4 linked regions of the Caenorhabditis elegans genome follow. The protein of the gene in region 1 interacts with the protein of each later gene in a pairwise test. Each region holds a gene or a part of one and is shown on either strand. Other genes may lie near its edges.

Evidence for each region.
Region 2: the proteins of C29F9.5 (region 1) and fozi-1 interact in a two-hybrid assay, tested with the Caenorhabditis elegans proteins (one large-scale study listed by BioGRID).
Region 3: the proteins of C29F9.5 (region 1) and zfh-2 interact in a two-hybrid assay, tested with the Caenorhabditis elegans proteins (one large-scale study listed by BioGRID).
Region 4: the proteins of C29F9.5 (region 1) and gpd-3 interact in a two-hybrid assay, tested with the Caenorhabditis elegans proteins (one large-scale study listed by BioGRID).

What each region holds. Positions count from the first base shown.
Region 1 is NC_003281.10:114,473-121,841, reverse strand, and holds C29F9.5 (histone acetyltransferase), read right to left. Parts: upstream 4,333-7,369; 5' UTR 4,287-4,332; coding exon 4,259-4,286; intron 4,213-4,258; coding exon 4,067-4,212; intron 4,024-4,066; coding exon 3,897-4,023; intron 3,614-3,896; coding exon 3,503-3,613; intron 3,449-3,502; coding exon 3,075-3,448; 3' UTR 2,928-3,074; downstream 1-2,927. Other genes in the region: C29F9.12 (uncharacterized protein), read left to right, coding at 1-9, 60-107; pals-24 (DUF4200 domain-containing protein), read right to left, coding at 635-685, 1,067-1,097, 1,144-1,205, 1,250-1,281, 1,326-1,350; C29F9.6 (histone acetyltransferase), read right to left, coding at 5,348-5,418, 5,466-5,891, 5,954-6,044, 6,455-6,564, 6,610-6,634.
Region 2 is NC_003281.10:9,278,562-9,286,942, reverse strand, and holds the start of fozi-1 (Formin-homology and zinc finger domains protein 1), read right to left. Parts: upstream 5,163-8,381; 5' UTR 5,010-5,162; intron 1-5,009. UniProt on the Caenorhabditis elegans protein: Acts redundantly with hlh-1 to promote body wall muscle cell and coelomocyte specification in postembryonic mesoderm progenitors, probably through suppression of sem-2.
Region 3 is NC_003279.8:799,337-808,057, reverse strand, and holds the start of zfh-2 (Zinc Finger and Homeobox), read right to left. Parts: upstream 4,691-8,721; 5' UTR 4,657-4,690; coding exon 4,584-4,656; intron 4,259-4,583; exon of another isoform or gene 4,186-4,258; intron 3,714-4,185; coding exon 3,636-3,713; intron 3,589-3,635; coding exon 3,163-3,588; intron 2,459-3,162; coding exon 2,178-2,458; intron 1,640-2,177; exon of another isoform or gene 1,399-1,639; intron 1-1,398.
Region 4 is NC_003284.9:3,109,765-3,117,078, forward strand, and holds gpd-3 (Glyceraldehyde-3-phosphate dehydrogenase 3), read right to left. Parts: upstream 3,578-7,314; 5' UTR 3,558-3,577; coding exon 3,318-3,557; intron 3,269-3,317; coding exon 3,140-3,268; intron 3,093-3,139; coding exon 2,436-3,092; 3' UTR 2,327-2,435; downstream 1-2,326. Other genes in the region: gpcp-1 (Putative glycerophosphocholine phosphodiesterase GPCPD1 homolog 1), read right to left, coding at 40-117, 178-335, 381-478, 539-664, 706-851; gpd-2 (Glyceraldehyde-3-phosphate dehydrogenase 2), read right to left, coding at 3,803-4,459, 4,506-4,634, 4,684-4,923; mai-1 (ATPase inhibitor mai-1, mitochondrial), read right to left, coding at 5,233-5,289, 5,592-5,801.

The sequences.
Region 1 (7,369 bases):
TCAAAAATTGTAAGCAACGTATTTTCTATTTGTATTTCCAAAAATCAATAATTTTTCAGTTCGAACGCAAAAACATGAGCAAGGAAAAGGAAACTTCATCACACTGATCACTGGGACGAAAACAACTGGCTAATAGACTTAAATTTTTTCAACCTTTTTTTTGTTGTTATTTTTGAGATTTTCGTTGTTAGAATTTTGTACTTATTTTTCGATTTTTTCTGTAAGATTTTGTTAGGAATTTCATCACAATTAGTCAGATTTTCTGTAAATTTCGTGACTTTTTTGGTAATTTTTGTTTTTTTAGTTTAGAAATAAACAATATTTTTAAGAAACAATCGTAATTTGCGTTTTATATGGTTAAACGGTAGGAAGGGGAAGGAGCGGGCTGCGAACTGCCATTGCTGCAAGACAACGCAGGCATCGCCTCCAAACCACACAGGCAACGCGTTGAAACCACGCAGGGACTGGCATTCTTGAGCGTGGTTTGTACGCGTTGCCTGCGTGGTTTGGAGCGGCGCCTGCGTGGTTCGGTTTATCTGAGAGTTCGCGTTAGGTTTTTTGTGTTGCTTCAAAAATTCATGCTTTGCATTAAATATATGCTTGAGGTATTGCACGTAATTGAGGCAAAACTGACCTTCATCACTTCTTCTAATTGCTCTTCTTGTTTTAATCTGAGCATCTTCCGCTGAAATAATTTTTTGACATAAAATGTGTCGGGTGCGCGATCAAGAAGTTTTTGCGGTCCAATTTTTATCATTACTTATATATTTAAAAAAAATGGTGGGTCTGCCCATAGTTTGCAGTCTATGTAGTCGTTGTAGTGTGCAAAGTTATGGATTAATGAAGGGATTTTGGTTTGGGGTTAATGGGGAGACTGCAGTAGTACTGTAGGATTACTTTAGTTTAAGAAAAATTGATTGTTTGTCTTCATAGGGATATTGGTTTAAGACCAATGGCGGATATGGTCGGGGTACTGCAGTAGTACTAAAGAGGTACTGTAGTACTGTAGGATTACTGTAGTTTGGGAAAATTGAAAATCTCAAAAAAAATACAGTTTTTTTGTTACCTCCGCTTGTTCCGTCTCCATCATCTTCTCGCTGAAAATCACCAAAATTTTAATCGACAAATTTTTTTTCGACTTACTGTTTTTCCAAGTTTTGCAAAAACAACAAATATTTAACATTACTTTCAGAATTCGTGTTTTCCTGTTAAAAATCAAATATTTGAAGGGTTGCTGGTCAAAACCAACCAAATTTATTTTTGAAAGGTTTTGTAGAGCATCTAAAACTATACATATTTACAACAAGAACAAACAGAGCACAAACCTTCGTCATTTTTTCGAGCAGTCATAGCTGTGTGCTGAAACATAAATTATCACAAGGAAATAAGTAAACATAATGTTTGGAAGAAGAAACGCATTAGAATTGCTTGCTCTCACTATCAGTTTTCCAATTTGAGCCCCGCCCGTCAGACTGAGTATCAAGACCGGAAAATTTAAACAATATTTTGAAATATGTTGAAATAGCTGAAACTGAATTTTTCAAAATTATCTACAAGAAGTTCTCTACCAAATTTCGAGAACGTAAATAAAATGTTTTTGAAGTCAGTATGCTCTAATCAAGAGCAAATGAATAAACAGTTTCCTTATCAGTTGAGCCTCCACTATTCAAGTAGAGACTTTCAGAGAAAAACAAAGAAAAGTGGACTGAAGCAATCAGCATAAATCTGGAGGCCCGGAAAAATCTATAAATTCTTTTTTTCATTAAAATTTCAATAATTATTCATGATCTGGTTTTTTATGTTTTATGTTCTATCATTGTTTTACGAAGCTCGCCCTCACACGTCTCTGAAATCGACCGACTTATAGAAGGTGTCCAGAGAGATGAAAGTCGAATAAAGTATTTTCTATTGAGATTCCGAATTTAAAACAAAGTCTTGCCCGATTTGTATGGATAAAATCATTAATAACACACTTGAAATTTTAAGGAATTTTCAAGGATACATTAAAAGACTTGAGATCATTAATACTAGAAGCTTGGATATGTGGGCTCTTTGACATTCACGAGTACAATTTGATGTAGTTCTTTCTCGGTATCGCCTTTGATTTTTGCAAAATGCACGTTGAAGGCTCTAACTTTCTTTCCATAAAACAAAATCATTTGGTTATTTTTTTTTCAACAGCTTGCGGTAGATGTGTGCAGACTGCAATAAAATCCGTGTTGTTCATCAACTCCGCCAAATCAATTTGCAATCTCTGTAATGTCAAGGAATAAACTTTGCTAATTTCTTTAATGAGATACCAATAAGAATTCAAATAGTATTGGAGGTATACGAGTATCGTTACTCATAAACTGTTCGAAATCGCTTCGAAAATTCTCAAATTCTCTCATAAAACTTCATATTTTATGTGAAAATCAATGAAAATTGTGTATTTTTCCCCAAAAGGCACTAAAATGCAATGTTCAAGTGAAAATTTATGAGAAATTATTGAAGAATGAACAAGGATACCATTGGAGTAATCGAATATTTGAGGTGGCTTTCGCAAACAAAAAGAAGGGGCGCCATTTTACAACAACAACATACAACAACTGGATTATAGTTAATATCAATTGAATGCAGAATCGCGCCGCTCATCCACCAGTAATAAAATCTGTAAAACCTCTTTTATAAAAAATTATAATTTTCCATGATCAGGTGTTGCAGAAAAAACGCTTTTTTCAGTCTTTTACACGGCTAGGGACCTACAAATTAACATGTAAACTTAGATGTTATTAATTAACATGTAATCCGTAGTGAAAAAAAGAACACCAGGTGTTCCCCGTGACCTTGGTTATGTTTTTTTGTTTATTTAAGGTCTTTCCACTTCGAGTCTTCTGCATCAAAATTGAAAACAAATGAATTATGCCAGAGAGTAATTTATTTCAAAAAAAAATTCCAAGGATACAAAGTTCAGGAAACACTAGGTTAAACGAAGCTACAAGAGACATGGTTAAGATTCTTGTACTAACAGTTGGTAAATTCAGCCACTACAGTAGTGATTTGGTCAATTGAACATGAAATCTTTTGATAGGTGATTAGGAACCCTGGTAGTCCGTGGAAGTCCCCTCCAAGCGATCGTCAGCCTCATCCTCCTTCTCTGAACCATCACTTTCATCCTTCTCCTCCGTCTTCTGACGTCTTGGAAATCCTTCCTGGTAGCGGCAAACCTTCTCTCTAGCCATATGGTAGTACGCTTCCAGCTTTTGGGCGGTATCGAAGATCTGAAGCTCCGCAGATCTCGAGTACTCCTTCCAGGTATCCATTTGGGCCTCGGACAGGGTACCCGGCTTCACATTGGACATGATTCCCTTGTAGATCTTCTCGATGAGTTCGCTTCGGTAGGTTTTGGGGACTTCCAGGTGCCAGATCTGGTCGTGTTCTGGTTTTTTGGGCTCCGCAGGGGTGGTGTCTGAAAGAATAGGCCGATTTACTGAGCCGGTGGGGTAGAATCTCAAATAGTTACCCTGAGGAGGAGCAGTCCGCTGCTCAATAATCGGCTTGCACACTGGGCATTCCTCGTTGAAGCATTTCTTCCAATGGCTGAGGATGGTGCGGGAGGAAGCACAGTGGACCGCTGGAATTTCAGGGTTTGTGGGTTTTAGAGGAAAGACCTATGCTTCGGCTTAGGCTTAGGCTTAGGCTGAGGCCTAGGCTTAGGCTTAGGCTTAGGCTATGACTTAGGCTTAGGCCATGACTTAGGCTTAGGCTTAAGCTTAGTCTTAGACTTAGGATCAGGCTATGATGTAGGGTCAGGCATGGGACCAGACTTACAAGGCTCAGGGTCATTTCAGCCTGCTGAAACTCAAGCGCGGCACCGTCTAGATCCTTTTAGCAATCCTTCATCTATTTTCACTCACAGTTACACTTGGGTCCTTCCTTGCACGACGTCATATGCTTCAGCACCTCCTTCATGATCACACAATCCTGAATCTTACACATTGCATGAGGAGCCGGCTCGTTCTTCTCGGCAGCTTCACGGATTTTCTGTAAAATATTTCTTAGAACCCCCGGGAGCCCAGAAACTCACAATATCCCGACGGACACACTCGTGGGCGTGAAGCAGAAGCCCTAGTTGACGGGAGATCAGCGTGTTCATCGTGGCTGTTGAGACCCTGGGTTGTTGCTGGACGTTATCGGAGGTAACACAGATTCGGAGATTGGAGAGGTCCTCGACTGAAAGGTTCAGGCGAGATTAGAGGTGCGAAGGATCGTAACTTACTAAGCGCTTCCTCAAGGGATTCCGACATTTCTAGAATGGGTCAAAAGTTGGAGTAGAACCAGGAGATGCTGAAAACGCAACGAATTTCAAATTTTAAAAGAAAATTTAAGGAAATGAATGAAATAATTTGGCACACTTCTTTAAATACACCAATTGGCAAAGTATCTGGAACCAGTGTCACGCTATGAATGAGCTGTACCAAGCCCACGCAAAATTGGACACACATACATTGATTTTATTCAATATACACAGTAAATGTATAGGAGTCTCAGAGACACAGAGCGGGAGACCCCCCCGGCACCGGCTTGTGTTTCTCAATCACACATTTTCCCATAAAAAGTGTGTTGCGTGATATGTATCGCAATTTTGAACGAGTTTTTGGACAAAGTATCTGGAACCGTTTTGAATGACGGGTGATAATGTGGAGCTGGCCCACGCATGGCGTGTTGGAGCAGAATGATAAGGACCGCGAGCCCAAGAGCTTTGTCTGTGTTGGAAGGGACCATAGCTTATTAGGGGCTTGAAGCTGTGGGCCCGAAGCTGTGGGGCCCGTACGTGTGGGGCTAAATCTTCGGAAGCCTGTAGCTGTAGGGGCAGTAGATGTGAGGCCGTACTTTTTGGGCCATATCTGTGGTTCTCGTTCCTGTGGACCCCGTACCCGAAAGGACCATGTCTGTGGAGCTCGTGTAGGGACCCGTACCTCTTAGGTCCCGTACATGTGGGCCCGTTCCTGTGAGGACCATACCTGTGGGGGCCCGTACCTCCTGGGTCCCGTACCTCCTAGATTCCCCGCAAGGCCATGGGGGCAATTGTGGTGCAAAGGGACCAAAGCTGTGATGCTGAAGCCGACTAAGAATCTACTGAAAAGGTTCTTTCAGAATTTTTTACTTTTTTCCAAATACTGAAGTTTCAAGTAGCCCTTCACCCAGTTCTGAACAAAATTTTTTTTTGTTTTTTTATTCTACTGGTTTTCTATACTTTTTTTGAGCAATGATATAAAAATGTCAATTAACATAAGAAAAAGTCATTGTAAAGAAGTCCTTAAAATGAGAAGTATTGCAATTTGAGATTCTGTGAAGCTGGCGATCATCAGTCTGTGGAGCCCTGGAAGTCCTTGGAAGTGCCTTCCATATGATCAAACACCTCATCAGGATCTTCCTCTGAAAATCTTCCATATTACTTAAATTACACCTGACTAAAAGTCTACCTCCAGCCCCCTTCTCCTCTTTTTGTGCCTCCTGGCCAGGGCCCTCAGGAGCTTTGTCCTGCTCGCGGGGAGCTCGCTCCTCAACCATGCGGTAGTACTCATCCCTACTCCCCGCTGCTTCAAAAATCTGAAGCTCAGCAGCCCTCGCGTCCTCCTTTATCTTCCAAATTGGCTCGAATCTTTGCGGATGGAGCATGATGTGTTTGGAGATTCTCTCAATAACTGCCTCTCTATCGGTTTTCGGAACTTCACTGTGCCACGGTTGTGAGGTTCCTGGAGGTCTTGGCTCGGGATCCTTGACGATAGGAATTGTGCTCAACGCGTTCATATTCTGTGCAGTCCTGTGTGCTCCACAAATCGGGCATTCCGCATTGGTACAGCGTGTCCAATGGTGGATGACCATACGAGACGAAGTGCAGTGTTCGGCTGAAATTGAAGGGATAAGGTTACTATTGGGGGGGGGGGGGGGGGGGCTCTTCTGAACTTACAGGGACACTGAAACCCATTCCAACACGTCATCATATGCCCGATCACCTCCTTCATCGTGGAGCACTGCGGAACAGGACATTGCTCAGCGATCTGCAAAATCAAACTAGAGAATCGAGTCTTTAGAAGATCCGAGATATCTGAACACTTTTCAAGCTTGATACCTTTGCTGACTATAATTGGAAAATGCATGCTTCTCAGCAGACTTTGTACCTGGATTAGGAAGCATTGGGCTTTAGGAGCGCGCGGCCAGGAGCCCAAGGCGCTCTATAGGGAGTCAAGATCACAACTGGGACGCTAAAGCCTCCATCTCGGCCCCCGCACACGCTCTAGAACTCCTTAAGCAAGTTGCACTACAACCCTGATACAAAGTCCTCAGCTGATTTTTTCCAATTCCATGCTAGCTCGCAGAGATACAGAACTTCTAGGTTTTCAGCTCAGCCTATCACGTATCCCTCATGCCAAATGACTAAGTTCCCCAGTGAGTCTTTCCAGTAACTCACCTGACATCGTTCGGCGTGGAGCATGAGCCCGAGCTGGCGGGAGAGAGTAGATAGCGCCAAATCTTCTTCGGAAGGTGGTTGTACGATGCGAATGTTGGAGAGGTGTAAGGCTGAAATTTATTAGGTAATTAAAAGGAAAGAAGGTAAAGACAAACTTTGCGGGTTCTTGGGAATAGTCATCGGATCAGTAAATTTGGGAAAATCGCAGAAATTTTAGGCCAGAAACAACTGATTTCGAAACTGTGTGAAGGTTCTGAGAGACTGTAAATTAGGAGGTCACAGAGATGCAGAGGGCCCTGGCACCACCCCCTCTTTCTCTGCTTCTCTAAGGGTGTCCCGCGACAGATGTGAATGTTATGGCAGTTAAGGGGTCAGAAAACAGGCCCGAAACTTATAGACTACAGGCTTCTACCATTAGATTGATCTGGGCGAACTCGAGCTCTCAGACCTAGTTGAGCAAGCCGATCCAGAGATTCTGATCCTAGCAAATATTCGATTGGAAATTTGGGGCAAATCCACATGACTCAGAGTCCACAAAAAATTTCTTTGTAGAATTCTATGGGCTGATCAGAATCCAAAAATGATATCAGAAAAATAATATCATATCTATGAGATTCAAACTTGGAAAAAACAAGAGAAGAGTCCTTTTACAACTTCGAGAGGGTACTGTAAAACTGGAGACGGTTAGAGATAACAAGATAAACATGGAGCGGAGGGGGGTAGGTGCCGTCGACTGATGGGCCAGGCACCGACCCTCTCTTTCTCTGCTTCTATGTCACAGTTATGGGCACGCGAGGGGCTTGTGAAGAACAGGTGTCAGGGGCAAATGAGAAACTGACTAGAATAACTGGAAGAGAAAATACGGTACACTGGATACATTTTTGGTTTTACTTGAAATTTGTGGAACTCTAATTT
Region 2 (8,381 bases), 9.2 Mb from region 1:
CGGTTTCTGACCTCGATCCGTGCTGGAAACAACCGAACAAAGCGCGTCGCAGGATGAGACGGCAATCAGTAAAATTTCGAAGATCAATGTCGGCTAAGCTTCATCTAACACGTGCTCATCATGACTTAGTAGCGACTAACCGGGCACATTGCTTAGTCTCAACTGCCACGTAGCCGTCGCTACTAACCGAAAGAAATATATGAGGTCTTAGAGCATGCCAAAAAAAACTTTAAAAATAAAAAATTGCAATTTGAATAATTTCAAATTTGTTTGGAAAAAAGTTGTTTTCAAAAGTTTCTTTGATTAACCTATACCCGTATGGATCCTATTAGATCTCTTAGCTTTGATAGCTAATATCTCAGTTTTCGTCGATTTTCTCAAAAAATCGCCAACTAAAAAAATCGTGCTAAATTATTTCTCTGGTGTTTGATTTTTCAAATTAATTTGATAAAAGTTAATACAGCCGAGATATCAGCGTCAAAGTAGAGCAGTAGGTTTCATACAAAAATTGCAAAAAATGCCTGTACAGCGAATATAATTATAAAACTATGTTTACAGTAATCCAGAGGCGCATGTGCCTCATTATTTATTCATAATGATTATAATAATAATGACAATGGCCACATGCATGATAATAACGGATCTCAAGGCTATCCTACTCGGGTTACTGTAGATTTATTCAACTGAGAAAAAAACTAGACATAAAATGTACAATTTCTTTCCTTAAAACTGGCGCACGCGGCGGCGGCAGTTCCATTGAAATAAGCATTCAAATTGGAACTGACTTTGTACAATGTACTAGGCTATACAATTCTCGAAGTAAGGGGAGTTGGCTCTACTTTTTCCAATTTCCATATACTTACAGTGTGAACGGTGGCTGCTTCAGTTTGATGTGTTTGTTGCAATGGAAAAGGGATCTGAAAAAAAGTGAAATGAAATGAATGGCACTGAGTTGTACAACTTGACGATTGGCAGGGAGAATTGCGACAAATAAGAAATACAATTTTTTATCGAGAATTTTGGAGTCGGACCCACACGTCAATAAGTGATTTTGAGAGTTGGCAGAATAACAGTAATTTGTAGCGAAATGAATTGAGGATTGTTATGAAGGTTTGATATTCAGAAATTTAAATGATGACAAAAATGGCTTAAGAATGTAAGACGTTTTCTTGGGGAACTGATTTTTTCAAAGCTTAAGCAACTTTCAACAGTAATAAAAATCAAACTCTTCAAAAATTATACAGTACATATATTTTTTAAGTCAACTCAACAGCTACATCTGTAGTTCAAACCAATAATGTAGAAACAGTTGTCCAAGCAACAAAACAATCACGACAAAATGAACAAAAATGTGAGCTTTTTCATGAAGCAAAGATACATTACTAGGCGTGATTGACAATCAGTCAGAAAAACGAAAGATTCATGGAGTAACTACAATACTAGTCATGCTCTACTCCCCAGTTTGTATTCAGAAGGCGGACGCGTCACAGATTCTGACTAAACTTGAGAGAAGTTGCCAATTGATTGAACAAAAAAAAAAGGAAATATGGGGATTTGAGATTTTAAAAGAAGTTGAAAGACTTTTTTCAGCTAAGGCTTAGGCTTAGGTTTAGGATTAGGCTTAGGGTTAGGCTTAGCTTAAGCTTATGCTTAGGTGCAGGTTTAGGATTAAGCTTAGGGATAGGCTTAGGCTCACCCAAACACATATTGCCAAAGTCCTATACACAACTCTCCCTGCACAGTTGCTAAATTTACACTGAATGCGCAATAGAGATGTTGCCAACGTGTGTGATTTTACACCATTTCAAATTTTACCAAGGCACGGCGCCTGGTGTGAGCTCACCAACTGACGCCCCTAGCTCCAAATAGTCAGAAGTTGGACGGCTACCTCCTTCAAATTCTATTTCATTTTTCAAAAACAATAATTGTTTTTCGGTTTTTTTCTTCTTGTTTAGACGTATAAGGAAGATGCGCATTTTAGAAAAAAATATAGAGACAAGTATCGTATTACCGAGAAATATTAATCATGTTTTTGAAAATGGGCGAGTGTTCACATCTTGAGAATAAGTTATTCGAAGAGAAGGGGCCTCCAATTTAACTTTTGAATTAGTTATTACAAGGAGGCAAAACATTGGATCTTCGAGTTTTTGTTTTGTTCACTACTTACAGGTAAAAGAAGATGACTAGATGAAGCTGATGAATAGTTGAGAGGTATCCTGAAAAACACAAAAAATAGGTACCGTAGGTGTAAAAGTAATGAGTTGGTAGCAAAAGCCGGCAGAGCCCAATTGGACATCAGGCGCCGCCCCTAAGTGGAGCTGAGTTGGCAGCACCACCATGATTCAAAAACAGGAGGAACAATAGGAGCGAGATATTGGAGGATGAAATTTACATATGTGTCAGTGATTAACAACACAAAAGTAGTTGATTAGCAAGTTAATATGGTATGAATAGAGCGTGTGATAGGCACATTTGTTTGCCGGAGGAATAATTAGTTTCATAACTTTTGAAAAATTTTGCAGTTAACTCGGTAGATGGGTGAGATGGAAAGTACATAGTATTAAATTGGAATATAGATAATTTTAAGATAGTTTAGGTCAATAGAAATATTTTATTTCCCAGAAATATGAAGCAGTGAAACCAATGAGATACTTCATAAATTTTATTATTTATGTTTTTTTAAAGGAATAGTACGAAAATTTGAAATCTTCAAAATAAACCGAAATGTAACTTTTCAAAGTGAAGTAATGTAAGGAAATACAGTAACTTTTTGGAAATTTCTCTCAATCATGGTTAGAAAATTTAAAATTCTCACATTATTTTGGCGTGAAAATTTTAAGTTTAGACTTCATAAAGACTACAGTACTCATTGCAACTGAGTGTGAAATTATCAAGCAAAATGAGAGTTTATATGGGTGCGAGATTCGCGGAGTTATGAGCCGTAAAACAACTGTGAAATGAGTGAAAGTTGATGGACGACTCGAGAGATCATTAAAAGTTTGATGACCTCTCAAAAAATGGGAAGTTAATGTCGAAAAAGTGGGGGAAGAAGGGAGGAGACTCGATGATTTTTGAAGAATAATTTCATTGAAATTTGTGAAATCTTCGATGAAGCTGGATAAAATTTAAAGGGCTTCAATCTTCTTTTTAACCAAAAAAAATATAGAAGACCCGACACCAACTTGATACGTTGATAGGTTTTCAATTTCGTATGAGATTTTCAAAATTTTTGAATCCAAGGCTTAACTGAATAGGATAAGGCCATCGTTGTTAAATATTAGTCGCGATGAAAACTGACTAAGTAGGAGCTTAGCCGATTAGAAATTGTGTCGACACGTGGATATGTCCATGAGGTCAAAGTTGAAAATTCGAAATGAGGAAGTAGCTAGTACGAAATAGCAGAGTAAATTTTGACTTTGTTACTAGAAACTTAATGTTTAAAAAATTAGAGCCTTCAGTTTTAGAAATCTAAAAAATATGTTTTTTTGTGGTTGACTTCCATCCATCATACTCGTTGCATTTTTGAAGTGCTTTTTGAAGTTTGAGTTAAAAATAATTTTAGATTATAAAAATGTTCAATCAAATCTACAATTCCTCACAAAAACAGTCATAAAACCTGCTCAACTTTTTCTAGATTATTTTTTTACTGGACTTAAATCAGACGATAAAGCTAAGAAGATCATATGCTTATCAAAGATCCAGTAACACTATCGAAAAAACTCTTCGTTAACATTTGAAAAATACATTCAAAATTGCCGTTAAAAATTAAAAAAAAAATTTCGAATACGAAACCTCCACCAGAAAACAATGGGAATAACAAATCAGAGATGAGATACGGTGCGATTTTGCTGGAATAAAAACTCAACAAACAAAACAAGTTCAACTTATGGTAATCTGGTCGGGTGGATCTAGGATAAAGCTTAAAATGAAAATCTTTGGCACGATGCGGTTTTTGGAAAAAAATAATTAAATTGAAATTCATGAACTTTCAGGGGGACAAGGTAAAACTGAAAATTACGTTTTCTAGCTTCTAAAAAATGTTATAATTTGAGTGGCTTATATCTCGATTTTCTTAGGTTTTTATCAAAAAATGTTCCACTATCAAAATATAGAAAAAATATTTTGCACGTATTTTGTCAATTGACAGTTGTTTGATGAAACCATTTGGAGCCAAAACTGTCAAAGTTGAGCAAGGTCTAAGACAAGTCTTTTTTAGAGAAATATGGTATTCAAAAAGTTGAGTAATCATTTTAATTTTCAATTTTTACGCAAAGTTACTTGCACCTACCGTAAACTTAGATACAGAAACCTATTATCCAGAAAATACTTATTTTTTTGGAACAAATGAAACTACATATAGAAAATGTAAAAGTATTCCATGGAAAAAAGACAAAAGTTTTGAAAATTCAGGTGAGAAAAATGATCGAGAACGGTGAACGAAGCTGTCGATAAAGCCGAAAAGCTGAGAAAGTTTAGAGAAAATGGAGGGAAAGCGGCGAATCGTTGGGAAACTAAGGGTCCACTCTTTCCTGGTTGCCACGCCTCTTTCGTCACTTTCACCTTTGCGCCCCTGGTGCCTGCACCAAAACAACTGCCATCGAAGTAGATGGAGGTGGAGAGAGCGACGGATATATGTACAAAAGAAACATCAACGAACACTAGGGAGGGCTAAAAACAAGATTTTTTCATTCGATGGCGGATACTTGTACCAGAAAAACGAAGGAAAGAGAAGCATCAGCGAAAGTTTCTGTTACTTTATAGTAATTGGGTTGATGATGGCAAAAGAAGCTTCTGAAGCTTCAGAAGGTGAAAAGCAAAACAAGAAAACAACATAACAAGAAACTAGAAATTTCAAATCTACCACAGGCGTTGGCCTAAGTCCAAATGTGGCTCTAAGGGGGTGTCCATCTCTATGCTCTCGATATGTCAAATAAAGAGAATAAGAAGGTTGAGCACAGGAGCTCCTACTCCCGTTTTCGCACATTTCTCAATACGATCACACTCCTCACCTTTTCTTTGTGTCTATGTCATTGTGTGTACAGGCGCAGGCGGCCGGAGACGAATCCCCACCAGCGTCTTCCGCTGATTGCGAACGGTTTCAGAGAGTGAAGTGGTCAGTTGGCTGGAGCACGTTGGAGAAGAGGTTGTAGGATGCTCTGAAAATACAAATTAAGGAGAGATGAGATTTTTTGAAAACGGGGGAGAAGGGTTACGGTAGCTTCTAACATTGAAGATTTAGGTTTCTGAAAAACAAAAGTTTTAAATTTAGAGCCAAGTAAACTTTTCAAAAAATGTTTTAAAATGGTTTTTTTTGCAATCACTCATAATTTCAGATGTTGAACATGAAAATGTTCATTTCTGCATTGCTTCTATACAAGGCAGGCTCGGTTTCAAAACATGGCGCCTGCCTGAAAACTGGCTTCCTCACACCATCTTCGCGCATTTTTCTGAACTTTTTTTTAAATTAAGAAATGACGTTTTGGCGCCTACATGAACGCTCTAAACTTCTGCAACAAATTTTTGAAATTCAAATTTTTTTAAAAATATTTTCATTTGAACATTTCTTTTTTACCATTTTACCTAATCGTCAACTGAAAATTTCAAAAAATCTAAACAATTTACGAAGATTTTGTTTTTCTACCGTAACCTATTTTTTATACCGTAGCCTATTTACTCTAAACTTTTCTAGCTGAAATAAAACTGAAAAAATCTTAAAAAATTGTTCAAATACAGAGAACAGCGAAAAAAACCACCCTGTGGAGAGCATTTCAAGCAAAAATAAAATAAAAATCTGTCACAAAGCTACTATAACAAGTGACAAATTGTGAAAAATCTGGATATTATAATGGATAAAATAAGCTATCAAAAGTTGTAAACCACCATTGGATGATCCCTGGATGTTCTCAAAATCTCCATTTTTCAATCACATTTTTCATAATCTTATAGCATATAGAGCTTTGATGTTAAAAATAGTAGGAAGTTACGGTATGAGCTCTCTGGATGTTTGGAAATGCTCAAAAAAGAAATCGAGATCATTTTGGATCAAGATCATTGTTTTCTTTTCTCAACCTCCAGGCGCATTGACTCTTCTCCCATACAAGGTCGAGAGGTGGCTCCCGTTGTGTTCCGAGTTAAGCTTGCACACACCTCTCACTCTTGCTTGCAATCTATATATGTGTTTGCGTATCGTTTTCTTCTCGGGGACGCCAAGTCCTTTTTTGCGAAACAAACAGGAGACTATAACGACGTGTGAGCCTGCTGCTGTTGCGATGAGAAGAGCAAAATGGGATCGCGGGGGAATAATGCGACAATCAACGCGAAAAGTTGCGCGCGCTCATCTTCAAGCCTCGCTAAGCCCATGGACTCGATGACAGACACCAAAAAAAGCTCGATGAATGGGGGAAAAAGAAAAGGTGAATGAAAAAAAAAACAACAAACGGGAAAACAAAAATGAATAGGTGTGAACTTTGAGCAGGTAAAGATTCTAGAGAAACTAAGAAAACAGTGGGAAAATTTTCGGAAAATAAATTTGAAAACTGTAGTCTGTAGAAGTCCGATTCTTTCGAAGAAATGTAAATAATTTCAAAAGGTGAAAGTTCTTATTTTTAAAGTTTTAAATCAAGAAAACTCATAGCGCAAGCTTTAGCTTTTTTCTGGTATGTTGAAAGACACTGAAAATGTTTCAAGTCTGGCAGGGATAATACGGTATTCCAAGGTAGTGCTACCCACAAAAATCTCAAGAAAATAAACCATTCATTGTAATCTCGAAAAAGTCAGCCTAAAACCTAAATTCTAGTTCTGAAAATCTCCAAAATCCTAGACACATATCCACATCTGGTTTGAACTTCACGCAATCATTGTTCACTTTCACGAGACGCAGACCACTTCTCTCCCCCTTCTTCTATCCCACCCATTGAGCTTATTTTTTGTTTGTATAAGTTTGTTTGTTATCCGTGTGAATTACACGAAAAGACGGATTAAAATCAGATGGTAATGAGAAATAGATACGTATGGAATCTGGAAAGCTACCGTACTCTAAAATGAGCATTTGACAACTGTGTTCTCATACAGGCGGCGAACACGAAACGGCATAAATTGTCGGCGCTGGGCGATGACCATGTGCCGAGTGTTTTGGAAAAAACTTTAGCGGAACGATTAAACAAACTTTTTGGGAGGAACTAACGAGTGCCCGCATGATGCACTTGGATTACTGTATAATTCGAAATTTGAAAAAAAAAAGTGGAACACTGAGTGGACTTAGGTTTAGGGAAAATTTAATTCCGGATTTTTTTCTCAGGAAATTTTGAATTTTTCTGAAGATTTTTTAAAATTAAATTTACTAGTCTGGGTCTTTCGGCGAAAAAATGTATAGTCTACAGTCTTTTGGGCACCAAAAAGTGGCCACCAACAATCAAAAGTTTTTGTCATAAATGTCTTTCTCGTGGCGGGACCCATCTGAACTTTAAATAATGTTTCAGAAAATTACAAAACTGCGATGTTGTTCCCTCCAAAAAATGTTTCCAAATCATTGCAAAGACGTAGATTAAGCTGTAAGATGTTTAGAGTTAGGACTATTCGAAAAATTGTGAAATCACAAAAAGCAAAATTTTGGAAAAAAATAGCTGGCACTGTAGTAGATCAAACATATGATTCTTTAAAACTAACCCCGAAGCAAAAAGTTATTTCCGATTACATCAACCTAGGAAATTCCGTACTTCATAAAAAAAGTATCAATACTCATTTCCTTTCCATTTGAACTTATGCGTGAAATTCCTTAGTGAATAAGTGAAACCTATAATTGTTCAATGTCAGACCCGAACATTTTGAAATGCTTCATGAACTATCTGTGTTTTGAATGTGTTATCTACGCATTCGCAAACCAATTTCTCCTTTTTCCGCCACTTAAAAGCGAACATACGATGGCAACATCATGTTGCTTCTTTTTCTGAAAATAAGCAAAAAGAACCAGCCCTTTATACAGTAATACATAGTAATGGCATAGTTTCTTCGTTTTTGGCTTCACTTATCCGCGTCTCTTAGACAGAAAGGCAACATATTCATCCGTGTCTCTTCACAACAGGAGCGGGGATGAAGAGCGAAAACAACATGACAAGGAGGGAGAAGACGCATTAAGTGTATTTTCAGTGTGGACACCACCACCGAGATGCAACGAAGACGGTTTTCATCAGCGAAAGCTTTTGCATACCAGTTGATGACGATGAGAGAGAGACACGAACACTTATTACCATTTTACTTTCTTTTTGTTTCTTTTTGAGATGAAGCTGCGCGCGTGCTGGCGGAAGATGAAACTAGAGGGGAGTTACTGGGATAGCAGGGGTTAATGATAAGATAAGGGATTGAAGATACTAGAAATTTATATG
Region 3 (8,721 bases), on another chromosome or scaffold:
TGGTGCATCAAGAGACAAGTCAAATTGGATAGTATAATTTGGCACAAAAATAAATAGTTGTAGCTACAGTTTATCAAATTTTAATGTTAATTCCAAAAAAATTAATATGTACAAGGGACTAAAATTGAAATCTCAAAATTGATTAAATTGAAAACTCGGCAACTCGGCATCATGGTGCATCGATCCATAGAAAAATGTTTTTCCAAAAAAAAACATCATAGTCTAGAAAAAAGACCTCCGGCACGATGGCGGGCAAAGCATACTCGACCTTTTGGCAAGGTTTATTGGTATGTGGAGAGGGGGAGGGAACGACAGTTAAGTGAAAGGATCATCGCTTAATAGGCAGAAGACGAAGAAGACGGTGGAGTCTTCACAGAAAAACATCTCCCGCTGTGTGCATTTATTCAAATTGACAGTTTTATTCATTTTCTCTCGGGAGAAGGACTCCCCAATGAAGAGAGAGGGAGAGGGAGAGACGGGAATCTGAATGAGTAGGTATCTTAATTTGCAGCCGACACTTCAAGGGTTAAAATTTCGTAAAAATTTTGTTTATTTCAGCAACCGAAAAGTTACGGGCTGGAATTTTGAGAAAAAAAAAGACGCAGCGGGCAGCTAACGGGCTCGAATCGTTCAAGTTTGATGAAACATACGAGGTGGCAGCCGACACTGCGCGGGCCGTATTTGAGAAAAAACTTTGTAAAAACTGAGAAGCACCCGACATCTTACAGGATTGTGCAAAATTTAAATATTGGAAATCTAGCCGGAGCAGCAGACACCTTGCTGGCTCAAATTTTAAATTGTTTTGCAAAACAATTGGAAGGAGCCGACATCGGACGGGCCGAAATTGTAAAAACATGCAAAAACAGAGAAGCAGCCGACGCCTTACGGGATTCCGTAAAAATTGAGATGTGATAAAATAGTAGCAGCCGACACCTTACGGGCTAAGTAGAGTTCCCCAGTTTATATCCTTCTCGGCAACCCGCTGCGCCGCCCGCGTCAAATTGCGAATTTATTCAAATTGACAGTTTTGTTTTGTTTCCATCTCAATCGGCCCAGGAGAGGGGGGGGGTCTTAATGGCGAGAATCATCACCGTCACCTCCCCCCATAGGTATAACTAATTGGATTGGGAAAATGAGAGGGGGAATGAGTAAAACGAGGGTTGGAAATTGGGAACAACCCGACGAGAACAAAGAAGTGAAAGACACATACACTAATAGCCGGAGAGAGTAGAAACCGGTTGGAATTCAATGAAAAAAAAATTTCAGAGTTTTTTCCAAAGTTCGGGGGGAGTAAAGCCACCGACCGTAAAATCAAAGTATTTCACATTTTCATTGAGAAATTTGAATTCAGCTCATTGTGAGCTTTCAATTGAGTATAATTGGGTCTCGACACGAAGACTTTAGGCTTAGGCTTAGGCTTAGGCTCAGGCTTAGGGTTAGGCTTAGGGTTAGGCTTAGGCTTAAGCTTAGGGTTAGGGTTAGGCCTAGGCTTACGCTTAGACTAAAGCTTAGGCTCAGGCTTAGGCTTAGGCTTAGCCTTATGCTTAGGCTTAGGCTTAGGCTGAGGCTGAGGCTTAGGGTTAGGCTTAGGCTTAGGCTCAGGCTTTGGCTTAAACTTAAGTTCAGGCTTAGGCCTAGGCTTCGGCTTAGGCCTAGACTCAGGCTTAGGTTTAGGCTCAGACTACGCGGGGGAAGGGAGAGAAAAATAAATTCCAAAAAATTGAAAATTTATGAAAAACTAAAATAATTCAAGAAAAACTCCCCGCCACGCCTACCGGACCTTAAATTTTTTGCGTGCAAAGACCCTATAATCAATTACGCCTTGCTTGGGCTCCGCCACGAACACTTTCGCGTCAGAACCAAAACCTAGTAATGATTATACTTATTTTAAAGGTCTCAGCGTACTGAATTCAAAATTTTCACTACAATTTTGAGCTTTCTAGGGATATATTGAAATGTTCAAATTTTTGAATTTTTTTTTCAAAAATTGTAGAAAAAAGGCTTTAAAATACGAAAACTGTTAGCCTTGGCAAAGCAAATATTACTCATTACGCTATTAAATCATGAATTTATGTGTATATGCAAATCGGTGCGCATACACACACAGACACACAAAAATGGGAAAAGGGCGACACAATAAAAATAAGAAGATGATGAGAGGGGAATACAAAACTCACAATTTGAACCTTTTGCAGATGCTTATCCGTCCTTGTGTGTAGTTGAAAATTGGCTTTCAATGTGGTATTATACGGGCACAAGTGGCACCGGAAGCTCCCGTTTAGGACGGTAACGTCTCCTTGGAACGTCCTGGAACGGTCTTGTTCCACGTGTTCCATCATTTCGGCGATAGATTCGGTGGCGAAGATACCGCAGATCAAGCAGACCAGGGATCCGTCGGACTCTTCGATTGGACTACTTCGGCTAACTGGAGCACCACACGCGAAGTTGGCTGCGAATTCTGGAAAATTCAGGATATTTTTGAATTAAAATAATAAAAATCTTAAATCTGAATTCAGCTTAAGGCCTTTCAAATAAGTATAATCATGACCCATTTGGGTCCCACCACGAAAACACGGGATTCTGGTCTTCCTCATGTTTTAAAACAAAAATTGAGCCGCGACACGCAACGCGCCGTAAATCTACCCCAGATATGGCCGGCCTAGTTCGGCAAAAACTCTTCCATTTCAATTTATGAGAGAAGCCAGAAAACTACAGTACCCTCTCCCCCATTTTCGTGCCGAGACCCGGGAAATTTGGGTCTCGACGCGATTTTTATTGATTTCGATCTAAACTCAATTTTCTCAGTCTTTTCAAAATAAAACCAATTTATTAAAAAAATCAGAAAAGTTAGGGGCTTTAATCCAAATATAATCACGTCCATTTTTGGACAAGTGGGTCCCACCACGAAAACTACAGTACCCTTTGAGTGTAAGACCCACAGAACGTCAAATTAAAAAAATACTGTAAAATCGAATTTAGCTCACTGAGAACTCTAATTTGAGTATCATTTTTTAGGGTTCAAAAAAGTTGGCGTAAGTGTTTTTGCGTGGCGAGACCCTAGAATCGAAAAGTTCGAGTTCAACAGTTAAATTCTTGTGAAATTCAAATTCTTGGGTCCCACCACGAAAACTACAGTACCCTTCGCCTCCCCCCCCCACCTACCTATACTATTCGGGAGCTCTTGCACTGCATGAAGATGCTTATCACTTTGCATATGAATACTCAAATTGCCCTTTGTCGTCGTACTGTACCGACACAAATCGCATCGATATGGCTTATAACCGCACGAGTACGTCTCACCGCGAGCCAGCTTCGGGTGGGGACGGTTCTCGGCACAAAACATGCACTTGACATCCACATCGTTGTGCTTCTCCTTCATATGAATTTCAAGGGTCTCCTGGTACTTGTAGTGCCAATTACACTTTGGACATTTCAGCGTTTTCGACGAATTTCGGAGTGATGAGAATTGGGAAATGTCGGCGAACGCGCCGAGCGTCGGATCGAACGGAAACGAGGAGGAGAGGCTCGCCTCGTCGAAGCCTGACGCGGCGAGAATCCGTCCCAGCTGACATTTTGTGTTTTCGTTGGCTGAAATTTTTCGGGAAATTGCGGAAAAAATTTGATCTATGACCTACCAAACATCTGAGCCGTCGAAGGATCCGTAAGAAGTCGCATTATCTCCGCAGAATCTGGCATCATTGGTGGTGATGTTTCTGAAAGAGAGAACTTTAGTTTTTTAGTCCTATGGAATGTGGTTCTTCCGCCGCGGCTGACACTTTTCGGGCTCCACGCGCGGCACTATACACGGGGTTCTGGCCTTCCTTATTGAATTTTTCGCGCTCCATTGGCAATCGCCCGCCGGTCAACGCGTGGGCAAGTCGTGCACTCCACACGGACAAATACATTTAGTTTTACAACTAAAATCGAGCCCAGATGTGACCGAGCCAAGATGGCCTAGTTCGGCAAAAACTCTTCCATTTCAATTTATGAGGGAAGACAGAAGGCCGTGACTATACAGAAGGCGCGCCGCGAGTTAGGCGGAGGTCGCCGCAAAACTGGAGCAGCAGGCGTTTTGGAGGCCCTAGGCGCGCGCGGAACCCTGTACATGTCGGACCATGGTATCAGTTTCGCTATCTCTAGTGCACATTTAAAGCACATATGTACCTCCATCTTGAGAAAGAAATTTCATCTTGCAAGGAATCGAACCCCGGACCTATTGTTTAGAGCTGAAGCGTGTTAACCACTAGACTACAAGCGGCGCGACATGATTCTGGCGGTACTGTAAATTAAATACCACGACAATGCAAATGCGCTCTAGCGACGAACTCTAGTTTCAGAAAGCCAGGAGGTTCAAGGTACACGTGGTGTCAGAGTATGATCTACGTAGATCTACAAAAAAATGCGGGAGAAAAGATTTAAAAACTTGCTTATGTCACATTTTTTGGGGAAAAAATCCCGCATTTTCTGTAGATCAAAAAGCAATGGGACAACCTGGCACCACGTGAAGGTAACGTACCTTTGAAAATGATTTAAAAAAAAAGAAGTCTTGGCCTAAAAATTATCGGTCCCCCGGCCAAACTCACCCCTACTCTCCGTAGACTCTGAACTTGTCGGCGGTTTGTTGTTGTCATCCATTGTCAAAAGTGCCACGTCCATTCTACCATTTAGCCAATATATGGGCGGGGCAACTCTGGAAATTTTTTTGGATGAATTTGTGAGGAAAAAGTGAAAAAAAAATTTAAAAAACGCGAAAGTTGGAAAAGTGGAAAGTTTGAGAGTGATTTAAAATCTAATGAGTCGCAAATGAGAGAGAGAGAATCGGGGCGGGGGGGGAAGCGCGGAGCTCGCCCCACCACCACCACATGTGCTTGCAATTAATTAAATTTTCGAGGGAGCGGGGAGCCCAGGAGAGCCATCCCCGGAAGCTAAACTTCATAAACTTCAAATGAGCACTGAGAGTTGAGTTGACACCTGTGTTGTGAATGAATGTGAGGAGAGGTATTCGGGGGATAGTTACAACAACAATTACACAACACTGACAGGGGACTACGGTAACCATATGGAGGAGCTGGAGGAGCACACAAAACTTGAGACAATGTTCCCCGCATATGTTAGGGGGGTGCCGACACTCTCAGAAAAAAAAAACGGGGGACACTTTGTTTCTAATGGTGTTTCGCGTTTATTGGGTGATCATTGTGGAGATTCACACCTGCAGTTCTGACTACTGATTCATAAGATCACGGGAGCGGAAGCAGCAGCAGCGCAAGGGGTGTAAGAAAAATCATAACTTTGGGGTATGAAAATGGGATAAAGGAAACGGCAACGACAATTGTAGAACGAAAGTCGGAGGCCTAGGCAGGCGTGGCCTCAGGGCCTGATGCCTGCATTTTGGCATGAACTTACAAAATTTTGTAATTTCCGTATTTTTATCAATTTGATGAAAAACATTTTAAGAGATAAGGCTCGGATTGAGGCGAGAGGCAGGCGGAGGTCGCCTTAAAGTCAGGCAGGCAGGCAGAGAACGTCTGAAAGTCAAGCAGGCAGGCGAAAGTCGCCTGAAGGTCAGGCAGGCAAGCGTTTTAACGCCTACTTAAAAACCCTATTCAAGAGCTAGTTTATGAAAACTTTCTTCAAAACTCAAGTTTTACAAATTTTCTGAACATTTTTGAAACGAAAAATGGTTTGAATTTTTTAAAGCTGATTCTGTATGATCTACGTTTTGAGAAAAAAAATTTAATTTTTTCGGATTATTTTTTGAATATTATTTTAAATTTTATAGCAACTCTAAAAATTCGATATTTTTACAGATTTTCAGAAAAAATAGTAATTGCAAAAATTTTTAAGCTTTTTAAAAATGGCTTAGGCTTAGGCTTAGGCTTAGGCTGAGACTCAGGCTTAGTCTTAGGCTTAGGCTTGAACTCAGTCTTAGTCTTAGGCTTAGGCTTAAGCTTAGGTCTCAGCTTCGGCCCAGGCTTAGGCCTAGGCTTTGGCTTAGGCGTAGGCTTAGGCTTGGCGTCAGTGGGGGAGCGTGAGCTCCCACACTGACGCTATTTAGGGTTATTAGGCTTAGGCTCAGGCTTAGGCTTAGATAAACAAACATTTTTTTAAAATAAAAATTTAAAAATATTTCACTGAAAAACTGTTCAAAAAAGTTAAAGAAAAACGTTTTTTATCTGAAAAATTTTTTTAGGCTTAAAACAACTTTTTTGACTAATGTCTATTTTTTTTTGATTATATTTACAAAAAAAATATGGCTGAGCTCAAATTTTTAGGTCTGCAAAAAAAAGGATCCCCAGAAAAAGTGAGAATGAAGCGTGAGAGGAGCAATAAAATGGGCGGGGCGCCACACGAAGAGCACCCTCGTTATAACTGGCTGATTAGGCATTTGAGAAGAGGAAAGTTGAGGGAAGATGATGGGTGTGGAAAAAGTGAGGCGTGGCCTATTTTATACATTGGTGAATCTGATTATTCGGAAGGGGCAGCGCACGACGAAGAAATTTCGACGCGCAAATTTTGAGCAAATAAGAAGTAGGAGAAGAGGGGGCCCCGAGAGAGGTAACACGTTTAAACGATGTGTCGAAAACCCGACACAAAATGATTATGACTACTGTAACTGTGTGGGGGCCAATTGAATTGTGAAGCAAGTAAAATAAGGGGGGGGGCTAGGCCTAACTAGGGGCACACACACACACAGGAAGAACACGGCGAAAATAGGTTAGTGAATATATTAGTTGGTTGGCTCGAATTTGAAGAATTTCTATATTAACTTGGTCTATGGACTTTTCGAATTGGTGGCTGACTAGTTTTTTTTAGGCCACGCTGCACCGTAAAACAGACCAGAAACACGTCTGGGCAAGTGGTGTAGTGGCTAACAGGGATGACTACTGATATGATGACCGGGGTTCGAGCCCCCCAGTCATTAGTTTTACGAAGACTTTGTATAGGAATTTTTGAAGAGTCGGAAGTCTAAAAACCTTAAAAACGGTCTAAAATTTTTTTTTTGAAGTTTTAGCAATTTTGGCGCAGTGGCTAACAGGGATGCCACCTCAGGGGTTCGAGCCCCCACCAGTGTCAATAATTTTTGCGAACTCTAACTAAGATTTTGTATACTGTAAAACCAAGGAAAATTTCAAAATTCAAAATTTTCAGTTTTAGAAACAAAAAAGTGCACGGGGTTCTGGCCTTTCTCATTGAATTTTTCGCGCTCCATTTACAATCGTCTGGCGGACAACGGGGGAAGTCGTGGACTCCACACGGACAAATGCATTACAACTAAAATCGAGCCGCGACGCGACACGCAACGCATCTGGCCTTGTTCGCCAAAAACTCTTCCATTTCAATTTATGAGGGAAGCCAGAAATCTGTGAAAGTGGAATGTTCATAACTTTTTAGAAAATTTTTACAAAATTTGATTTTTTTTTTCTAAATCTAAATGATCCTTACTTATCGTTGTATTCAAAAAAATAGACAAAACAAAAATCAAAAATTGCAATTTTTGGTGTACTGGTTAACAGACTACCAATCTCAACACCAGGGTTCAAGTCCCCATTGAGGTCAATAGTTTTTTTGAAACATGTTATAACAGGAAGTTGTTCAAAAACATAGTAAAACCCCAACAAAAAAAAAAGATTCCGTGAATTAGCTAATTACAAACAAGCCATTTTATCGGAATTTTACGAGCCCACGGAGCCCAGATTAATTATTTGAGAGCGCCCCTCTCCCCCGCCTTCTCTCTTCTATTTCTGTTTTCACAGACCCCTCTCTTTGACTAATTGGCACCTATTGGATGACTTCAATTATTATTAACTGTCATTTTGTTTTTAGTTGATATTATATATTCATACTAACTAATTTCTAATAATAATAATAATAATAATCATAATAACAAGAAATATAATACAAACATTGTTGTGAGGAGGCCCCCCCCCCCCCCCAAGTAGTTGACTTGTTAATTGGCAGCGAGGTGTCGCGCGGAGGGGTCCCTTCCCCCGTAATTCGATTAGACCCCCCCCCCCCCCTCTTGCTCGTCGAGCATTCACCGATTTACTTGATTATGAGTCAATGATTCGCTAATTTTGTCCCGCTAAATGGGTGGTTAACGAGGGAGGAAGTTGTGAACGGGGGGACAATGGAGGGGGTCCGGGGGACTTGTGAATTGACAAAAAAATTAGGTTTTTGGAAATTTTGGAAATTCATTTAAAATGGTCCCGCCACGAGCTCTAAAAATCAATGGATGGCCTATAAAACGATCTACATTGATCCTAAGTCACCACGTGGTGTCAGAATGTCCCATTTTGGTTTGATCTTCGAAAAATGCGGGGGAAGAGACGCAGACTTTTCAACTGATCTCGCAAGAGTGTGCTGACGTCACAATTTCCTGGTGGAAAGTTTCCCGCATTTTTTGTAGATCAAACCGCAATGAGACTGCCTGACATCACGTGAGTCGCATAAATGCGCCCTCCTTTAAAGTCGTAGAAGTGGAGAAAAACACAGTGTAGCGAAGTTGTGACAAAAAGACCGAAATAAGGCGTAGAGTCCGAAAAACGGAACTAGAAATGTTTGCAGTTTGGTGTAGGGCATCCGTGCAGGCGCCAAAACGCCTGCCTCGCGCCGCCTGCCGCGCCGCGCCTCCTTTATAGTGCGGCGCGGAACCCGAGAAGTGTCGGCCGCGGCGAAAGAACCACTTTTAGCAGTGGTTTTCGTTGAAATTCTGGAAATTCT
Region 4 (7,314 bases), on another chromosome or scaffold:
TATACCACAAAACACAATTACAACATCTAATATACATACAGACATGGAGGCATAAACAGAAGAATGCCTCCAAACTCCACGCCGGTCTGTTATGTCCTTACGCGTGTAAGAGAACATCTGCAACTTCAATTTGGAAACCTACGTCTATTTTTTCATTTCAAATAAAATCTAACTAACCTCGCTGTACCTGACATCAAATGGTTCAACTTTCAGACGATATTCCTTGTTCGCATAGCTTTTGGCAAAAAATTTGAGCGCTTCTCCATGAATACGAAAATACACTACACTTTCTTTTTCATTCAAAATCCATCCATCGGTTATTTGAGTTTTTCCGCCTAAATTGACCTATTATTTTGTAGTTTTACAGTTTCAACACTCACTATAACTTCCAAATTGATCTGTGATATTTTTTCGAGCAACTCCATCTTGACTTTCCACACCTATCAAACAAGTTCTGGCATTGTTAAAAGTTTCCCATCTAAACGAATTTTTTGTTAATTATTTTCAATAGATTTGTGAAAAAAAACCAGAAACTCACTTTGACAAAACCATAATAGGCTCAGAAGTGTTATTTTCAGATGGATCCAGGTACATAACTCGAATGTATCGAAAGTTGAACTCTTTGATAGATGAGGGAACACTGACAATTGCATGGAAAGTGTTTCTAAAACAGAAAATAACTGGAATTAATGTAATAAATCTTACTCTTCGTCAGTCGATTTTGTTAATGGAAATGATTTTCTGGGATTCCACTCGCCAAGGACGGGCAAACTTCCAACGACATGGATTTTTTCCCATTCTCTGACTTCTGAGCAGAAAACTTTGAAATGTGCTTTGTAGTCTTGGTCCATATAAACCAGTAATCTGAAATTTCGAAAGATTAAATTATTGAATTTCAAAATTAGAAAAGAAACAAAATTGCGAATTATTAAAACTAAGTGGGTAGAAAAAGTGGCCTACTTCCCCACCAAGGTGCGCATCGATAACGATTCAATTTTCTTATCGCAAAAACGATAATGTCATTATGGGACTGATAGTCTGGGTAGGGACAAAGAAGAAAAAGGAGCAAATGCTGGTGCTAATGCAAAAAGGAAAAAAAGTTGAATGATTATTTTTTCTTTTTTCTTCTTCAACTAGAACTTAAGATTGGGTACATGAAAAACAACGAACATTGGTAGTTTATTGTTGGCCAGTGTCAGATCGACAAAAAAAAACAAAATGAAGTTAGTGTCGTTTGTGGCAGAAAAAAAAAGAGTGCTATTATAAAATATCGAATTTCAATTTCACGTTATTTCGGCAAACTACATTTACTTGGGAGGATTTGCTTCATTTTGTTCCGAGCCCCCAAATGCTTTTTTTTTTTGGTTCTTCTTTTCTGTCACGAGCCAGTAATTTTTCTGAATCGATGAGAAGGGCAAAATGGAAGAAGAAAAAGAAATAGTGAGGAAAAAAGAAGATGGGCTCCGGGGAATTGGAAACGCACCCGCACAAAAGAGAATATAAAGAGAATAAAGAGAAAAAGAAAAACGGCGTGAAGCGAAACAAGAAAAAAACGCAGCCAGCTTTCTATGCTTCATTTCAAGTGTACCCGTAGAAGCAGGCAGACTTCGTCAGAGTCATGCGTACATCGTTTCCCGCATTTTGAGGCAAAAAATAACGTCACTAACAACAGGTTGATGGATTTTGCCACGTGACTTTGTGATATCTATTCTCGTTTTTTCCTTCATCTTTCAACTGTCTACGACAAAGAATAACGTGACCATAGGAATTTTCTGAGATTGTATAATTGCGAATGAAATATCAAATATGGAAAGGTAGATGAAAAGTAGAAGTACCCCAAAATATTATTAAATTTTTAAAATTAAATCTGGAATTTTTAGGTCTACAAATAATTATTTCTCACGAGTTTACCATTACAAAAAGTTATCCTATGAAAATATATTGTGATACATCTACTACATAAGTGACCAAAAATTGTTTCCAATAAGTTTTCTATTCAGGCTTAGAAAAGCACTAATCCTAAGCTTAATAGTTAATATTTTTTGGGACTACACAAGTATCCCAAATGACTCTGGGAAAAATGTTAGCAAAGTGACAATGTGCCGACATTTTGAGTGCACATTGCACTCTACACTGGACACTTCTCATCGCTTCTCAATTTAATGTAAACATAGAGGCTAGACGGAAACTTAATCGGGTTTGTATGACGGACAATCACAACGAAGAATATAAATGAGTGTAAACCTCGTGAAAGGTTCGAATTCAACGTTTCAAATTTGATATAGCCATTGAAAAATGCTTTCTATCCAACAACACAGTTTTAGTTACTCCAGCTAAAAGATTTATTCTTATAAAGAAAATGAGAATCAAAGTTACAATAATGTGGAATTTATTATGTTACAGATTCATTTCAGACTTAGAGAATTTGAAGCGGCTTAGGCCTTGGTAGCAATGTAGGAGATAAGGTCGACGACTCTGTTGGAGTATCCGAACTCGTTATCGTACCATGAGACGAGCTTGACAAAGTGTGGGTTGAGTGAGATGGATGCTCCGGCATCGAAGATGGAAGAGTTGGTATCGGAGACAAAGTCAGTGGAGACAACTTGATCCTCGGTGTAAGCGAGAATTCCCTTCATTGGTCCGTCAGCGGCAGCCTTGATAACCTTCTTAATGTCATCGAGGGAAGCTGGCTTCTCAAGACGAGCAGTGAGATCAACAACAGAGACATCTGGGGTTGGGACACGGAAAGCCATTCCGGTGAGCTTTCCATTGAGCTCTGGGATAACCTTGCCGACAGCCTTAGCGGCTCCAGTAGAGGCTGGGATGATGTTTTGTCCAGCTCCACGTCCGTCTCTCCAGAGCTTTCCTGATGGTCCGTCAACAGTCTTTTGGGTGGCGGTGACGGCGTGGACAGTGGTCATAAGTCCCTCAATAATTCCGAAGTTGTCATTGATGACCTTGGCAAGTGGAGCAAGGCAGTTAGTGGTGCAGGAAGCATTGGAGATGATGTGGTCGTTGGCATGATCGTACTTCTCGTGGTTGACTCCGACGACGAACATTGGAGCATCAGCAGATGGAGCAGAGATGATGACCTGAAATTTAAATATATTTATCTTGAAAAATTAAATCACTAATTTACCTTCTTGGCTCCTCCCTTCAAGTGAGCATTGGCCTTCTCGATGGTGGTGAAGACTCCGGTGGACTCAACGACATAGTCGGCTCCAGAGGCTCCCCATTGGATCTCAGCTGGGTCTCTTGAGTTGTAGACCTGAAATTGAATAGAATATTAGGTGAAATCTAATTGGAAATAATTCTACCTTGATCTTGTGCTGGGACTTTCCTTCCTTGGCGACAAGAAGGTAGTCTCCCTCGTGGGCAACGGTTCCCTTGAAGCGTCCGTGAGTGGAATCGTACTGGAACAAGTAGACCATGTAGTCGATGGAGATGAATGGATCGTTGACGGCAACAACATTGACACTGTCCTTCTCGACAGCGGCGCGGAGGACAAGACGTCCGATTCTTCCGAATCCGTTGATTCCGACACTTGGCTTGGTCATGATGCGTTGAAGCAGTTTCCCTGAATTAAAATTAGAAGTTGAAAATACAATAGAAAGAAAATTGGAAGGTATATAAACTCGCAAAAACGAGGAAATGGCAGATTCAATAAGATGAATAAATATACAACCTTTATTGAGAAGAGACCATTTATATACTTGTAAGCTTCTAGGAAAATTTTAGATACTAAAGAGAAGCATAGATTTTAAGACAAGCAGTTAACTAGGTGAAAGTAGGATGAGACAGCTTAGGCCTTGGTGGCGATGTACGAGATGAGATCAACAACTCTGTTGGAGTATCCGAACTCGTTATCGTACCACGAGACGAGCTTGACGAAGTGTGGGTTGAGTGAGATGGATGCTCCGGCATCGAAGATGGAAGAGTTGGTATCGGAGACAAAGTCGGTGGAGACAACTTGATCCTCAGTGTAAGCGAGAATTCCCTTCATTGGTCCGTCAGCGGCAGCCTTGATAACTTTCTTGATGTCATCGAGGGAAGCTGGCTTCTCAAGACGAGCAGTGAGATCAACAACAGACACATCTGGGGTTGGGACACGGAAAGCCATTCCGGTGAGCTTTCCATTGAGCTCTGGGATAACCTTTCCAACAGCCTTAGCGGCTCCAGTAGAGGCTGGGATGATGTTCTGTCCAGCTCCACGTCCGTCTCTCCAGAGCTTTCCTGATGGTCCGTCAACAGTCTTTTGGGTGGCGGTGACGGCGTGGACAGTGGTCATAAGTCCCTCAATAATTCCGAAGTTGTCATTGATGACCTTGGCAAGTGGAGCAAGGCAGTTAGTGGTGCAGGAAGCATTGGAGATGATGTGGTCGTTGGCATGATCGTACTTCTCGTGGTTGACTCCGACGACGAACATTGGAGCATCAGCAGATGGAGCAGAGATGATGACCTAAAAATTTAAATATATTTATGCACAAAAGTTGATTACAAGTTACCTTCTTGGCTCCTCCCTTCAAGTGAGCGTTGGCCTTCTCGATGGTGGTGAAGACTCCGGTGGACTCAACGACATAGTCGGCTCCAGAGGCTCCCCATTGGATTTCAGCTGGGTCTCTTGAGTTGTAGACCTGAAATTTAAGAGAATGTTTAACAAAATATGTTTGGAAAATATTCTACCTTGATCTTGTGCTGCGACTTCCCTTCCTTGGCGACAAGAAGGTAGTCTCCCTCGTGAGCAACGGTTCCCTTGAAGCGTCCGTGGGTGGAGTCGTACTGGAACAAGTAGACCATGTAGTCGATGGAGATGAATGGATCGTTGACGGCAACAACGTTGACACTGTCCTTCTCGACAGCGGCGCGGAGGACAAGACGTCCGATTCTTCCGAATCCGTTGATTCCGACACTTGGCTTTGGCATGGCTGAAAATTGATACTACTACAATCAGTTCAACTAACATACAAACGACAAATAAAAATAGAATGATCGAAATGAAAATCGAATCAAATTGAAGAGAGAAGAATATGAAGTGAAGCCATAAAAACCATGTTTACTATTTGACGAAACATGTGCAGTAAGCGAAAAAAAAATGATGCAATAGGCAAGATGAAGAAATGCGGTGTGAGAGAGAAAATAGAGAGGAGAGAATAAGTATGCATAAAAAGAAAGGGAAAATTGAAAATGATGATGCAAAAAGAACAGAGAGCCGTTTGAAAAGCCCTCTATTTTTTATGTTCCGTGTCCTTTCTCGATTTCCTTCAGTCGTTGCTGATGTTGTTCGAGAACCTGAAATGAAAGTATTGAAGAACGTTGAAAGGTAGTGGAAAACAAAAAAAAAGAGATTGTTTGTGAAAACCAATCTATCTCTTCATTATGCTCGCTAGTCGCCCGTCTCTCTAACATATCAAGGTCAACTGTGTAAAATAGAGAGATTCGAAAGGAGTCCCCGGTCTATTTTGAATCAGTTCTAGAACACGCCACTTTCGCAGATAAGAGTTTCGGCAGTGTCATGTGACACATCAAAGAATAACGAGTTAATCAACAACAATATTTTCCTGCGTGTTTTCCTTAAATGGAGTGTCTCGTACCTTTTCATGATCCCGAATTTCCTGTTGGCTTTGCGTCATATCTGCTTCAAGCTTCTTCTTGAGATTGTCCAACTGATCTTTTTGTTGTCTTCGGAAGTATTCTTCTTCTCTGGTGGCGCCCATCATGCCGAGTGATCCACCTGCTTCACGGATTGAGCCGCCGGAGCCTCCACCATGTCCAGCACCACTTCCACTTCCAGATCCTGACATCTGTTTTGATTTCCTGGAAATGAACTAACTGGATTATATGAGCATGGCTCCAAAAGTAAAGAGAAGCGAAAGAAGAAAGCTGTCAAGAAGACGTCGAAGGGAGCATGCCTTTTTTATTTCTGAGAAGAAAAAGAAGAAAAGCAGCTAACACACACACACAAGTTTGTAGCACGTAAAGTAATCTTGAGTGAGAGCGAAGGGCGAAGGTGATGCAAACAGGCCCTCCCAAAACAAATTTCACAATGCGAGTGGCGTTTCGATGGCCGGAGACCGAGGACACTGGGCCGCCCATTTCCAAACGGCAATCGATTTTGTTTTTTTTACACACACATCAATATACACGCACAAACATTAACTCACAAACACACACACACACCGCACTCTCGTGAACTGAACGCACAAAACGTGTGTGTGTGTCAGTAAACTCTGATCTAGTAGAAAATAGTGCGTGTGTTGCAGAGGATTTAGAGAAAGGGTCGAGAAGAGAGTTTCGAGCCGCCCGTGAATTGATATCATAAACAATTGAAGACTTTGAAACATTTACAACATTTGACCTTCGAGAAAAAGAAGAACGAAATAAAATATTTACTAACCTCAAAAGTCTTTGTGAGCAAGAGCAACATTGGTTTCCGGTGAGCTCCTTGAAGTCAAACTCTGTTGTGTTGTTTCCTTAGAAGGCAGGGCAGGGTCGCTGTTTTTTTAGGGGAGCCGCCGTGGCGAGGCGAACATAGAGAGTGAAGGGAGCGAGGCGGGTAGCCTCAACTGATGCATAGAGAGAAAATGGGCCAACTGCGAGTGCGACGACGGCCTAGCCAGCCGGCACGAATCGATGGAGATGCCGACGTCGCCGACACACGATTGCTGGCCGTTGGCACGTAGGCAACGGCAGTGTAGTAACAGGAAAAGAAGAGATTTGAGGAGTTGCTCTTCTTTTCGCTTGGAGCAACTCTTTTCCAACCCGAAAGTTTTCAATGATAAAATATAGAACAACACGAAGATGAAAAGGCGCAGTCGCTAGTCAATCGTTCTGAAGATCAAACTAGTGGCCGGAGTAAATGGGAGGAGTTGGAAAATAATCAACGAGAAAAGTGTTTTTCATTGACATCAAAGAATGTTTTATATCAGTTATCACTGATCACTAGTCACTAGTTTTTTCAATTTCTGAAAGAAAATCTAATTTACTAATAGACACACGATGAATCAGAATTTATTCAAATGTATCTGATCAGTTGAATACGTGAGATCTTTTATAAAAGCTAATATCAACCAAAAGTTCAAAATCACTTCGAGATCAAAACTCTAATGGCATATGTTTGAATGCACGAAGTCAATAATTCTAACAGGCGAGAGTGCTATAGTTTTCTCAAAAAGTGGCAAAAACTCAGGAATTTCCACTTTTTGACTGTCAATAACAATTTTTCAAAATTTAATGTATCATAAACGTGTAATGTAATAACTTACCAAAACATGCCTAAACAGTGTGTCATCTTTACCTCAAGTTTAACCAAATTAT